Linked DNA regions of Macaca fascicularis. The protein of the gene in region 2 purifies or fractionates together with the protein of the main gene of each other region. This does not show direct contact. Links are inferred from orthologs where the notes say so. Each region holds a gene or a part of one and is shown on either strand. Other genes may lie near its edges.

Region 1 (7,135 bases), on a different chromosome or scaffold from region 2:
GAATCTGAAAGAACACACTGAATGAATGTGTAAGAGGAATGAGGCAGGGAGGGACTGAAGGCTCACACTTTGTAGCATTCTCTCTGCTCCCCACCACACCACCACCACCATTCTCTCGCTTCTGCTCATTTCCCAGCTGGGAGCCATATCTACATTTATGTAGCTCTTCTGCAAATTAATCAAGGAATATTCCCACGGTCCTTCTCTAAGCCAAACCCAGTGCTGAGTGGGACTGTGCCAACATCAATCACTGATCCCCCATCATGAGACATAAGGCAAGCCAAGATGATAGCTGGCTTGTAGATTCTAGGGCAGTGGTTCTCAAGCCTGGCTGCATGATAAAGTCACACTGGGGGCTTTTAGAACGTGCCACTACCCTGGCCCCACACCCAAGAGTTCTGAGTTCATTAGTCTGCAGTAGTGCTAAGATATTGATATTTTTGTTCTAATATGCAGTTAGGGGCTGAAAACCATGGGCCTAGGGGGACTTAGAGATAAGAGGTTCATATAACAAAAAGACAGAGAGGGGGTCATTTCCACCAATTCAGGGCACAGTGAAAAAAGCCAGAATGAGAATAACTTTTACAACAGGCCGACAGGAGACAACCTGTCTAGAGAGGACAAAATGTGTAGGGACACTGAAGGTGGAAATACAGACAGGTCGCAGTCCATGGAGAGCCTTGAATGCTAGGTCTCGATGTTTTCTCTGCATCACAGAGGTAACCAAGAGGTATTGAAAGTTCATAAACAAGAAACACAGTGTATTAAGGAAATGACCAAGGCAATGTGGAATTCACAGTCCTTGAAAACATCTGACCCCCAACAACTCTCCAGCCCCACCTTCTGCCACTCACCTCCCTTCCCGTGTCACTGAGAAGAAAGGGACTTGTGGTTCCCCATGCACACAATGCAAATTCTCACCTTGAAACCTTTGCCCATGCTAAAATGCTTCGCTACTTCAAAGCTGTTCTACTTGTCTGTTAAGATTCAGCCATTTTCAGCTGCCTGTCCTGATGTCTGAGCTCACCTAGGACTCCCATCTCTGAGCTCCCGTAGCCTTCTGGGATGCCATCTGTGTCTCTGCTCTGAGAATACCATCCTATAATTGGCCAGCCATGCGCCTGTAGCCCACCACCATGCTGGAGAGCTCCTAGGAGCCAAGAGTTGGATCTGACTCCTGAGTCCTCAGTATGTGGCAGAGTCAGTATTGTCTATTGAATAAATGACCAATCCTCAGTACTATAAGAATAGTATTGCAAACCAAGCTCCACTTTCCCATAAAGGAAGCTGTCCCTGGGCCAAAAACTCAGCATTGGTTGGCTGGACAAACAGAATCAATCAAGTGGGGCCAGGCACCTAGAGGTAGCCTTACCAGGTTGACTGCGTCCCAGTGGTCAATGGGGCGGTGGGCTGTATTCAGGTCACCCAGAATGATCACATGGCTGAAAAACACAATATGGGATTGTCAGAAAGGGGTGCAGCAGTCCTGGCTCGTATACTTTTTCCTGGGCCCAAGAGCTCAGACAGGCCACCTCCCATATTGAGGCTTCCTAGCCAACAGCAACTCATAGCAGCCTACCTCTCCAATCTTACCACAACCTTGCTGCCTTTCATATCTGACCAACCCAATTCTGATCTCCAAAGGTGACAGTGCTCCATGTTTGACATGACTGCCTCACTGATCAGTACCTAATGGGCATTTTTCTTGTCCTTCAATCAAGGGGAGGTGAGCTCAAATACCACCTCCCCTTGATTGCTCTAACCCACCCTCACTTTCCTGTCCTTCCCTGGAACAAGACTTTCCTTTGCTTCCAGGAACTTTATCATTCTCATCTCATTTCACCCTTAAAACTATTCTGTGGGGTAGAAACAATATCCCTTTGTCTCTGAGTTCTTTGGAAAGGTTCCATATCCCTTTCAATGGAGCTTAACACAGGGCTGGGCACCCAGGACCGACTCAAGGAAGCCTTGCTGCCTAGGCTTGCAGTACCTGCCTGCCGCCAGGAGGGCTTCTGCTCGGATTTGCAGCAAACGATAGAAGCGCATCTTAAAGACTAGCCGCTCAGGCCTCCCAGGGTCCGCATGGGGGCAGTACACGTTGATTAGGGTCAAGATCCTCTCCTTCCCTTCCCACGTGCTAGAGAAAAGAGAAACCTTCAAAAGGGGTCAGTTTCAAACCTCCCCTTCTGTCCCTTCCCCATACCACATGGTTTCCATTTGGTGACTGTCTGGGATGGAAAAGAAAGGGGTTAAAGAGACACAAATGAGCTGGCATGCACAGGACTTGGGGACTGACTACTGGTAAGGCAGGGAGACGGACATCTAAGGATGACCACCAGGTAATGGCGCTGCTATTCACAAAGAGAACACCCAGAAAGAGAGAAACCTGGGGCAGTGAATTCAGCACTAAGTTGCTTTTGAGATGTCTATGGTAATAAGGGCTGGATCACCAGGCCAGCCCCACACTGTAGAGATGGAAACTCAAGCCTCAGAGGGGGAAAAATTTGCCAGGGTCACACACTGAGCAGCCCAGCCAGGACTAAATCAGGAAAGGCAAATTTGGGAACTTCACCATGGTGCATGTATGTTTACAGGGCAAGCCTCAGAATCTTCACACTCAAAGAGTAGCACCAGCAGTGCTCAGTAGCAGGGAGATATGAGCTATTACCGGATCTTATGCTGTGTGAGGAGGGCCCGGCCCTCACTATCCAGAGCCCGGAGTTCCTCTTGGGTAAACTCATCCATGTTTCCATAGCAACCAACATTCCCATTCTGGGTGGCAAACAGGCCACTCAGGCCTTCTTCAGCAGCCACTGGGGTAGCGTTGTCCTTACAGAAGGTGGCTACACCTGGGAACAGACAGGGTACTCTGAGCAGACCTGGCAGTCAATACCCTGTTGCACAGCCTGTCCCACTCCAATTGTCCCCACACAGGTCACCTAAGTCATCTTCATAAAGTGTGGTTCTTGGGGAACCTTATTCAAACCTTGGAGTCTCAGTTCCTGCATCTAAAAAAGCCACAGAATGTTCTAAGTGTTTTACATTGATACATGGTGAGTGCTCGAGAAGTATTAGCAATTATTACTATCACATGGATTAATTAATTTAATCCTCGTAACAGCCCTAGAAGGTAAACATCATCCTCATTTTCTAGCTGAGGAACCTGAGGCACCAAGAGGTAATGTAACTTGCCAGAGGGTGCACAGCTAGGAATGAGCCACAATTCAAACCCTGGGCTTCTGGCTCCACAGTTCACACAATTAAGCACCACACTACTACTGTACTTCTGAGGTCCAGTAGGATAATTCTATCCATAAAAATTATATTTCACGTAATTTACTATTATGCAGCTTTAGCTCTGTAAACTAAATGTCTAAATTTCTTATTACCCTCTCATCAAATATTGGAAACCCTTTTCCCCATCTGCCTCCATCACTAATTTAAAGTCCACAGAAAGCCCCATTTACCAGAATAGCCGCTACGGTTGCGGCTGAAGCTGAAATAGGAGTTATAACCCTCAACGATAGCCAGGGGCTCTGTCAGTGCATCCCCTAGGGAAAAAAAAAAAATGTAAGATTAAGTCAGAGGTAAAACTAGCATCCGAGAAACACAAAGGCCTGGAATTACAGTTGTAGGCTAATTCCTTGCACACATCAGAGCCGGAGTTGGGGGTGACGGGAATGAAGTATCTATGAGTAGAGGAAGACCTAGAAAGATGGGAAATGTCAGAGAGGAAAATGATATCAGAATTAGAAGGCTGGCGGGGGTGGTTAGAGACTATGAAGTGGAGGTGGAGAATTAGGTGGGAGAGGGAAAGAATCAGAGCTAAGCCTGGGGGTCTGGACGATGGGAGGGAGCTGGGGGTGGGGATGGACATATGAGAGGACAGTGGGAATCTGAGCTAAGGGTGAGAGGTAAGAGAGAGGGAATTAGGGGATCTGAACTGGGGATGGAAGGAAAAGGAATTAGGGGATTCTGAGGGGAGATAGAAGGGTGAAGAAATAAGAGGACATCTAAGCTTGGGGTGGGAAATAAGGTGGGAATTAGGGACTTTCAGCTGGGAGGAGAGATGGGGATAGATAAGGGGTACGGGGTTCTGAGGTGGAGGTGTGAAAAGGAGGCAATTAGAAAGACTGAGCTGGGGTCAAAGGTGGGGTGGGAATTAGAGGATCTGAGCTTGGGGCAAGGATGAAGAATTCGGAGGTTTGACTTGGTGGCGGGGAGATGGACAGCGTATGGAAGGAGGAAATTCAGGGGACTGAGTTTGGGGCCAGAGAATGAGTGGGAATCTGACTAGATATGGGGTTTCGAGAAGGAGCTAGTTTGCTGAAGACAGGAAATGGAGTGCAACTGGGGATCTAGCTAGGGTGGGAAATGGGAGTTTAATAGGGAAGAGACCTGGGTCTAAGGGCAGGACTCTAAGAATAGGAAACTGGGAAAGTAAAATTACATGGGACAGGGGGCAAAAGTTAGCGGGAAAGAAAAAGTATGCAGGGATCCTGGAATCCAGAGCGCTCACTGGTCACTTTGGTTTCCTGGAGACAGACGATATCGGCATCCAGCTCGTCCAAAATGCGCCCCACAGCCACGGCGGCACAGTTGCTGGGTTCCTGATTTGCCACCCCTTGCACGGGTCTCCGAATCCCATTGATGTTCCAGCTCACCACGCGCAACATCTTAACGGGCTGGAACACCTCCCAGCCCGCGCCAAACTAGGCGCGAGCGAACAGCTCGCTGTTCCGAAGTTGGCCAGGCCCGCCTCCCGCGTGCGTTTGCGCAGGCGCTCTCGTGCGTACCACAAAAGCGCCTGACGCACGTCGGGCGGGGGCTTCAACTTCCTCAGTTCTCATTGGCGGGAGGAAGAACTGGGTGGACGTGAAAGAAGCAGAGCGGAAGCCTAGGGGCAATGAATGGCGAGAGGAGTTTCCAGTTGGGCTCCCGCGCCTTCCGCTCGGACACCTGAGTCTCAGTACGTTTTTCCTCTACTCAGAAGTCCACGTGGTGCGTCCGGTTACTTACAAACGGGATTTTGCCACTTTGTAGGCGACCCTGAGCGGAACTGCTCAGCAGCCAAAGCCCCGCCCTCAGTGCGACGGACCGCCCACCTAAGTGCACAGATGGCTGCCGCGCTTGCGCCCCAGGAGTAGCTGGCGCTAAGTGCTCGCGTTGAACGGGGCAAAGGGAGGTTCGTGGTTGGAGGAGGGAGCAGTAAGAGTCGCTCCACTGAGATAAGACTTAGGAGGAGGGCCTTTGGCTTTATTGGGGCAGAGGGGAGGAGGAGGAGGCTGTCTCAAGCCTGCCCTGTAGCTTTTATTTGTCTTGGCTCTTAACATTCCGAAGGATGTAGCCGGGCACATCCTTACTCTTGGTTCTGTTTCTCAGATAAGTGAAATCGAGGCCCAGGAAATGTAAGCTCGTGAGCAGCACTGTCTCCGGATGCATCCATGGCTCTTCTGTATATGTTATCGCATTTAATTCTCAGGACAGCCCTGTTTGGGGCATTGAGTCTAAGTTAGAGACGTCGAGTGAATTCACTTCATTCTCACAGTTCAGTCTCTCTTACACTGAAGTAGTAGAGCCAGGATTCAAACCTTATGTTAATTAGCTCAAGGATTACTTTTCTGAGTGTTTTTACTGACCACACACCACCCCAGTTAAGTCTTTTCCTCTGGGGCCCCACGGCACCCTATGGTCCATTCTGTCACAGTACTTATAATACACAGCTGTCATTGACTTCTATTTCTGCTGCCAATAGACTGCCAGCAGCTTGAGAACAATGACCATGTCTGGTTCATCTTGTTAGCCCATCCCCTAATACTGGACACAGTATATATTGGGAAGCAATAGATATTTGTCAGGTGAATGAATGAACAAAGAATAATAGCAAGAGCATCAACAGGTTCATGGCTTGTTTTTGAGAGCACAAAAAATAGAAATAATGGATATGCCCAATGTCCAGGGAAAAGCATAACGATGCATCTTTAGGTTCCTCACCCAGAATTGCACCATAATTATTTTTCCCCCAGAATTTAAGCATTAGAGCCATCGTCCTCAATGGTTACAGCAAAGACGCAGTAAACTGCTTTTCCTCCTGGAGGACTTAAATTTACCAGTTGTTGCTATCAGAAAATAGCTCTGTGATTAAAATAAAATTTGTGTGTCCTAAGCTTTTTCATGCTTTGGGGGTTGTTGACTCAGGATTGACTCCCATGAACGTGACAACTAGGACAAAGGAAATGAACATTTTTATTGCTCTTGCTTCATATTGTCAGATTGCTTTCCAGTAAGAGATTATGCCCATTTACACTGAAGACCAATCTGAAACTCAGCCCCAGCAAAATCCAGAACTTGCCTGTCTCCATAGCTGGTTTTAATTTCCCTATTCTGCAATGGCTTGTTAATATTAGTTCTGACCTTTGGGGCAAGGTGAACACATGGTTGGACTGAAGAGAAAAGGCTTCGGGTGGCTCAGGAACTTCTTTGGCAACTACAACAGCTAATATTTCAACAGAGCACATACACTCCCCCCACTTAACAAGGGTACATCCTCAGCCTTCTCAGGGAACCAACGAACACCTCCAGGCTTCCTCTTTGATGCCACCCACTGGACCTGCCTTAGGGGTCTGTAAATGCAAGACATCCGAGTGTTGGATAATTAGCAATGGAAGAAAAAACCTCTAGAATAAAAGGTAGGTGAGAAAGAAGGGAACGTAGGCAGGAGTTACACAAATCCACATCCATTCTTCAGGCCCTCTGAAAAATTTTCTTTGCGTAGATGGTTGGTTGACGTGTGCATTAAAGGGCATGGGAAAGTGGGGGAAAAGATTATATGTAACCTATTTATATATCTGTATATTTTTAAAAATCCATTCTGGCCTTTGTGGGACCCTGGCCCCCAGGGCAATTCCCTAGCACCTGTGAAAGTCTCTCTAACTTGTTCTGGTGTGGTTTTGAATGAACTGAGTGATTGAGATTATAGCTCTTACCTCCCCACTGATGTGTAAAGTAGGGTTGATTTGCTGTGGGCTTTGAACAAACTCTCTAGCTTCTCTGGGCATCAGTAGCCTCCTCAGTAAAATGGAAATCAGAGTCTCTAGCCAATGTTCCTCAGAGGGCTGTCACGATCAAGAAGGGT
Region 2 (6,612 bases):
CCCAGCACTTTGGGAGGCTGGATCATCTGAGGTCAGGAGTTCGAGACCAGCCTGGCCAACATGGTGAAACCTCATCTCTACTAAAATACAAAAATTAGCTAGGCATGGTGGCGGGCACCTGTAATCCCAGCTACTTGGGAGGCTGAGACATAAGAACTGCTTGAACCCAGGAGGCAAAGGTTGCAGTGAGCCAAGATCACACTATTGCACTCTAGCCTGGGTGACAGAGTGAGACTCTGTCTCAAAAACAAGTAAATAAATAAAAATAAATAAATAAATAAAATGAGAATACGTTGCGTGTTATTTGTATAACTTAAAAGTAGAGGGCTGGACGTGGTGGCTCACGCCTGTAATCCCAACACTTTGGGAGGCCAAGGCAGGCAGATGATGAGGTCAGGAGATTGAGACCATCCTGGCCAACATGGTGAAACCCCATCTCTACTAAAAGTACAAAAATTAGCTGGGCATGGTGGCACATGCTTGTAACCCCAGCTACTCAGGAGGCTGAGGCAGGAGAATCCCTCGAACCCGGGAGGCAGAGGTTGCAGTGAGCCAAGATCGCACCACTGCACTCCAGCATGATGACATAGCAAGACTCCGTCTCAAAAATAAATAAATAAATTAATTAATTAAATAAAAGTAGAAAAAACTTTTAAAATAAAGTAGGTTTTAAGGTCTAATGTGTTTAAAAAAAAAAAAAAAAGTAGGGACAGAAAAAAAAGAAAAAGAAAGAGAAAAAACTCCAGTTCTAGAGCCAAAAAGACCTAGGTTTGAATCCTGGCTCTGCTATCTGTAAAACTCTAAGCAAGTTACTTACATTCTCTAAGCTTCAGTTTCCTCACCCATCCAATAGGATAAATATTACCAACGTTTCCTCCGATGTTAGGTGGATTTAATGAGAGAATGCACGTAAAATACTAGCATTGGCCGGGCGTGGTGGCTCAAGCCTGTAATCCCAGCACTTTGGGGGCCGAGACGGGCGGATCACGAGGTCATGAGATCGAGACCATCCTGGCTAACACGGTGAAACCCCGTCTCTACTAAAAAATACAAAAAACTAGCCGGGCAAGGTGGTGGGTGCCTGTAGTCCCAGCTAAGGCAGGAGAATGGCGTAAACCTGGGAGGCGGAGCTTGCAGTGAGCTGAGATCCGGCCACTGCATTCCAGCCTGGGTGACAGAGCAAGACTACGTTTCAAAAAAAAAATATATATATATATATATACTAGCATAGTGCCTGGCATAACAGAAGTGCTCCAAGAATACGAGCCATTAAAACATCCAACCTTCCTGCTCGGCTGCTCCTCAGGCTGAGCCTTCCCTCATCCCCAGCTTTTCTAATTCGTGATCTCAAAGCTCCTTCCCCTCTACCACCATCCTTTGCCTACAGCTTCAACCAAAACCTCTTCCCTCCCCAATATGCTAACCTCAGTGATCTGTCAGGACGGACCAGAGGGTGATCCCGCTCAGTGACCTCCTCCACAGCCTGAGAGAGGGCACAGAGCCCTGAAAGCTGCAGGTTTGTGTCCAAGCTGGATATCTGCACAGTGGCCACGACGGCTGCCACATGTTGATCCAGGGAGCTGCGAGGACCGGGACCCCGCAAGGCTCTGGCCATTTCTGAAATTGGTGGGAAAAGGCAATGGCTAAAAGAACTGTGGCACCTTGAAGTTAGAAGTCTTTAAAGTCAAGCCCAGTTATCCTACCAATATTTAAATACGTTATCGGCTACTGCAGCTTGCATAGTTTTCCAATTCTGTGTCAGGGATCTAATGATCAAACAAAGGAGATGAAGACACCACAGAAAAAGGACCCTCCTTTTCCAGAGATACTGAAGGGAGCGCTGGTTAATTAAATACAATCAAGGTCAAAAGGAAGAAGATGGACACATGGTTCCAAGGCATTTTCTCCTGCAAAAATGACCTTCTTCCATGGTTTTCCTTCGATCCTGACTATCCATTTCTTCTACTGAGACCACCCAGGACCTGTTCCAATTGCTTCCTCCCAGAACCTGACTCACCACTGGCTGACTCCTTCATCTCAGTGGGCAGGGTCATCCCCTCAGTCACCAGAAGCTGGTTAAACAGCTGCGAATCACTCTGTGCCATGGGGGGCTCAGTCCTTGTCTTGGTGGGCTCGGCCTCTGTCTTAGGGGCCTCGGCCTTTGCTTTGGGGGACTCAGTCTCTTCCTCTGAGAAGTTGGCCTCCGACTTGGACTCCTCTTCTGGATCTGGGGTACAGGAGTGATTTCGTGAAGTAGACGAGCTGCTTCGTTCATCAGACAGCAGCCCATACTTGGTGTAGATCTGGGAGTTGAGCAGGTCATTGAGAGTGCTGCCCTCAAATCGACTACTGAGAACCTGCAGCAGACTCTCAGCCATCTCCACGGACACAGAGATCTCACCTAGGGCCTTTTCACCCAGGGTCTGTCAACAGAAGGGGTATACGTTTAAGAGATAAGCAGACACAAAGGTCTTGGGGTCAGTAACGGGAAGGGTGATCACTCCCCACCACGCCCCCACACCTTCTACATACTAAACCCTCACAGCACTTGCCTCTGCCCCCCAGCAGGACTTCTCCTAACTCTAACCTCTAGCTCCAGCCTCCCCCTAGTGGTATCCCCTGTCTGAAACTCCTTCTAGAGAATCCCACCTCTAACCCTACTAGAAAATCCCCAGGTATCTCAGGCCTATAATACCTCATCCACGTTCTTCCAAAGATTCTGGAAAATTGGCTGCTGCTCACACAAGTCCAACTTTTTGATAAAGAAAAGCAGCTCCCACCATTCAGCCTGGGTCAGATATCCCACTCTCTCATTCTTCTGAGGTTCGGGCTGGAGGTACGGCAAAGGGTAGAGCCCATCCATAGGATTCCAGTCCCAGGAGGGAAATGCTGAGGACACAGGCATGGTGGGGATCAGCACCCCTCAGGAATGGGGTCCGTTTCTGGACCCCTAGGACTGCTCCTGGTCAGAAGTGGCTTCATCCCAGTCACTACTCCTCTGTTCAGAGACATGCTATCCATGTCCCCTCTTAGGCTCACCTGTGCCCAACACAGTAGCCCCTGCCCCCTTCTCCACAGCTGCTGAAGCCTTATCCTCAGTGGCTTCCTCAGGGCCCAGGATCTCCAGCATGTGCCAGTGCACCCAGTAAGTGCGGCCTGTCGACTGCCAGAAAACCTGGTATGAGGGAGGAAGAAAGAGGGCAGAATAGAGAAGGCTCAACCATCTGAGCCTTGGCCTGTGAAGGCTTGAAAGGACATGCCCAAGCATAGATTTGGGGCGCACCCTCACATACACAGCTGGCTAAGCCTGGAAAAACCCCCATATGGCAAAAGGCTTCCTTCCCTTATCAGGAGTGGGCCCTGCCTCTTCTTAACCATGATGTTCTCTGCTTCCACATTCCTTCCTAGCCTCTTCCACTGGTGGTGGTGGGGAGGTATCTCCATTTATCAGTTCTGCTTCCTGGGTGAGTCTCCCATGAACTTACAGTCCACCCACACCCCACACCCCTGCCACATTTTCTCAGCCCTCCAAATGCACCCCCCGCAAATGCCAACCCCCTTGTATCATTCCAATTCCCCAAGGGGGTTTCTTCTTGGGTGGCCTGCAGGAGTCCGCTGTATGAAGTCCCAGCTATACCCCACCCCAAATAAACTCCCAACAGTGTCTCACCACCACATGCTGCCCACCTGCACAGGGGGAATGCCGTTGTTGCTCTGCCGGAACTCGCCCTCGTCCCCAGCACTGATCTCCTCATAATCATCCAGCATCCGCACTCGCATCCCCGGCTGCAGCATCTGCTGCACATATTCTCCATAGCCACTACGGCTGGAGAATTCAGAGCGCTGGCGGAAGACCCACCCTTGTCTTCTGGGGGTGGTGACAATGGTGGGGAGTAAAAGGCTGGGGCCTGAAATGTAGGGCTGAAAGATGGACCGGGTTGGCCGGGGAGGTGACATGCCCTGTTCGCTGAGGTTCCGGGCCCAGCCCATGCTCCGCACAAGCTCAGAGATGAGATTGCCCACAGCCATGCTGAACTCCAGCTCCCGCTGTCCCCGGCTTTTCTCTCTTGTGGCACACGGGGAGCTTTGGTCTCCAGCTCCCAGCTCTGGACTGTTATTCAGCTGATCCAGGAGGGAGGTGACACAAAGGTAGCGCTTCACCAAGGAGAAGAGCAGCTTTCCTGGGATCTGTAAGGCACAATACTTGGGACAGGTTCATCTCTTCCTGGCTTTAGCTTCTCCCTTTCCCCCCAGTATCCTCCTTTACAGAAAAATAAAGGCCTTCTCCCCAGGCCTGTAGTTCTCCAACTTTGATTTGTGTAAGAAAGGCACAGGGAGTGTCTTAAGACACAGATTTCTGGGTTCTCATCTCAGAAATTCTGAATGGAGAGGGGCTGAGAGGGAGGACATGAACCTTCATGTTAACAAGTTCCCAGGTGGCTCTGGTGCTAACATTCAGTCCTGAACCATGTTTTCAGAAATAATGCCTCAGCCCTTGTACACAGCATTTCCCTACAGCTGGTAGTGTACCTGAGGCAGATGAATGCCCTCAAAGGCCATGCAGTGTTCTTCAGAGGATGTGGTTTCTGCAAACAGCTCCAGCAATGTATAGCGACTGTCAAAATCCATGTGCTGCTCGATGCCATCTTGCTGGCTCAGTGACAGAAGGACGTGAGCCCGACTCCCTGTAATCCATACCCAATCCATAACTTCTCCTCAATCCCCAGTACTTTCTCCCTGCCTTTCCTAGATTCTATCTCCTATCCCAGAGGCTTTCAAACTTTGTTACTAAGACTCACAGCAAGAAATGTTTTACATGGTAACCTGTTACAAACATACATACATATAACTGAAATATATTTTATGGTACAAAATTTACCCCTACTAAGTGCTACACACTAATGACTTAAGTTTTTTAAAAAATGTTGGTTGTAACCCACCAAATTGATTTCAAAACCAACTAATAAATCTCAATCCAGTTTCGAAAATACAGATAAATCCTATTCTCTTCTCTGGTCAATGCACTGAGAATGAACAGATAAGCCAGAGGCTATCATTTTAGCCTCTTTATATACCTGAAATAGCCTACGAATCTGTAGTTTTCCTTTGCATCAAATTGATATTCACCAAATACTAGGTGTTCTTACAGAGCTAGGAAATCTCTCCTCTTTCTGTTCTTACTCCCTGTGGCCCCATTTTCTCCATTGTTTTCCTTCTTCCCTGGCTGTCTCTTACCAGCATCGTGGGCTGCCAGAGCCTGCAGCATTTTGCCTGCACTCCGGCGGATCTGAGGCTCAGGATTGCACAACATGTGCATAAGCAGGTCCAGGGCTCCTGTCTCCCTGAAGACACCAGTGAGGGGCCCGATGCTGGCGTAGGCACTGAGCACGTGGATGGTGTGGAGCACAGCAGCCGTGAGGCTTGGGGTCCCACTTTCTGCCAGCTGCCTGGCTGCCCTGCGTACCAGCGCCTGCACATCAGCCTCCATCTCTCCCATTGCCACTTCATCCGGGCCTCCTGGATCTCGAGGAAAGCTTCCTGAAACCCCAGCTGGTTCATGCTGAGGTCCCTTAGATAGTGCCCGCTCACCTAACAGCCCAGGGCAGTTGGCGTAGACCTCAGGAGCTGACAGCCACATGAGGATGTGCTCTGCTTTGCCTTCTTCCACACCCACTTTGCCCACTTCCCCACACTTCAGGACACTCCATCGGATCAGGTATTCAGGATGCCCATCATGCCCAGGCCTCTGTCGAATGAGTTCTTCAGGATATGCCTGCAGCCGAGGCCCTAAAGGCACCATGAGGTCCCCAGCATGCCGTTCCCCGACCATCCTGACCTCCTGGGATATATAAGGAGAAAGATAAGGCAGTATGAGAAAATAAAAAAAATACAGAGGGGGTGGAATCTTGAGACACAGAGAAGGTGGGTGGTGATCGGTAGGCTGCATGGTAGAATTTAGGAGGCCAAACAGAAAAGGCAAAAAATAGGATGGAATAAATAGCTGAACATACTTTGGGATTTATAACAGAAGGAGAATGGAGTGAAGACAGTGAGGGGATAAAGAGATTTAAGAAATGGAAGAGTTGGCTGGGCCCGGTGGCTCACACCTATAATCCCAGCACTTTGGGAGGCCAAGGTGGGCAGATCACGAGGTCAGGAGTTCAAGACCAGCCTGGTCAACACAGTGAAACCCCATCTCTACTAAAAATACAAAAATTAGCCGGGTGTGGTGGCATATGCTACTCAGGAGGCTGAGGCAGGAGAATCACTTGAACCCAGGAGGCGGAGGTTGCAGTGAGCCAAGACCGCACCACTGCATTCCAGCCTGGGTAACAGAGCGAGATTCTGTCAAAAAAGAAAGGAAGGGAGGAAGGGAGGAAGGGAGGAAGGGGAGTTTACAAAAAGATAATGAAAAGAATAATAGGCAAGGTAACAATAAACAGTGACAGTTAAGCAAGATAGTTTAGGCAGGATAGCAGGGTGGCTGAGGGTTACCGATTAGGACTTAGAAAGATGACATGGGTGGACAGGAAGCACAGCAGCATGAGAGGCAGTGGGGTCAGAACATGTGAGGAAAAGTAGGACAGCGGAGGGGCACGACAAGGAGCATAA

The links.
Region 1: the proteins of CUL9 (region 2) and APEX2 purify together in Homo sapiens (affinity purification with mass spectrometry; 3 studies listed by BioGRID and IntAct, counting the BioPlex papers as one, with this or other methods). This does not show direct contact. The link is inferred for Macaca fascicularis from reciprocal best matches to the Homo sapiens genes CUL9 and APEX2.

Annotation. Positions count from the first base shown.
Region 1 is NC_088395.1:54,986,290-54,993,424, reverse strand, and holds the start of APEX2 (DNA-(apurinic or apyrimidinic site) endonuclease 2), read right to left. Parts: upstream 4,777-7,135; 5' UTR 4,677-4,776; coding exon 4,520-4,676; intron 3,552-4,519; coding exon 3,468-3,551; intron 2,850-3,467; coding exon 2,669-2,849; intron 2,138-2,668; coding exon 1,991-2,137; intron 1,443-1,990; coding exon 1,373-1,442; intron 1-1,372. UniProt on the Homo sapiens protein: Functions as a weak apurinic/apyrimidinic (AP) endodeoxyribonuclease in the DNA base excision repair (BER) pathway of DNA lesions induced by oxidative and alkylating agents.
Region 2 is NC_088378.1:128,344,373-128,350,984, forward strand, and holds part of CUL9 (cullin-9), read right to left. Parts: intron 5,840-6,612; 5' UTR 5,831-5,839; coding exon 5,236-5,830; intron 4,686-5,235; coding exon 4,531-4,685; intron 4,189-4,530; coding exon 3,688-4,188; intron 3,176-3,687; coding exon 3,040-3,175; intron 2,890-3,039; coding exon 2,696-2,889; intron 2,424-2,695; coding exon 2,018-2,423; intron 1,618-2,017; coding exon 1,425-1,617; intron 1-1,424. UniProt on the Homo sapiens protein: Core component of a Cul9-RING ubiquitin-protein ligase complex composed of CUL9 and RBX1. The CUL9-RBX1 complex mediates ubiquitination and subsequent degradation of BIRC5 and is required to maintain microtubule dynamics and genome integrity.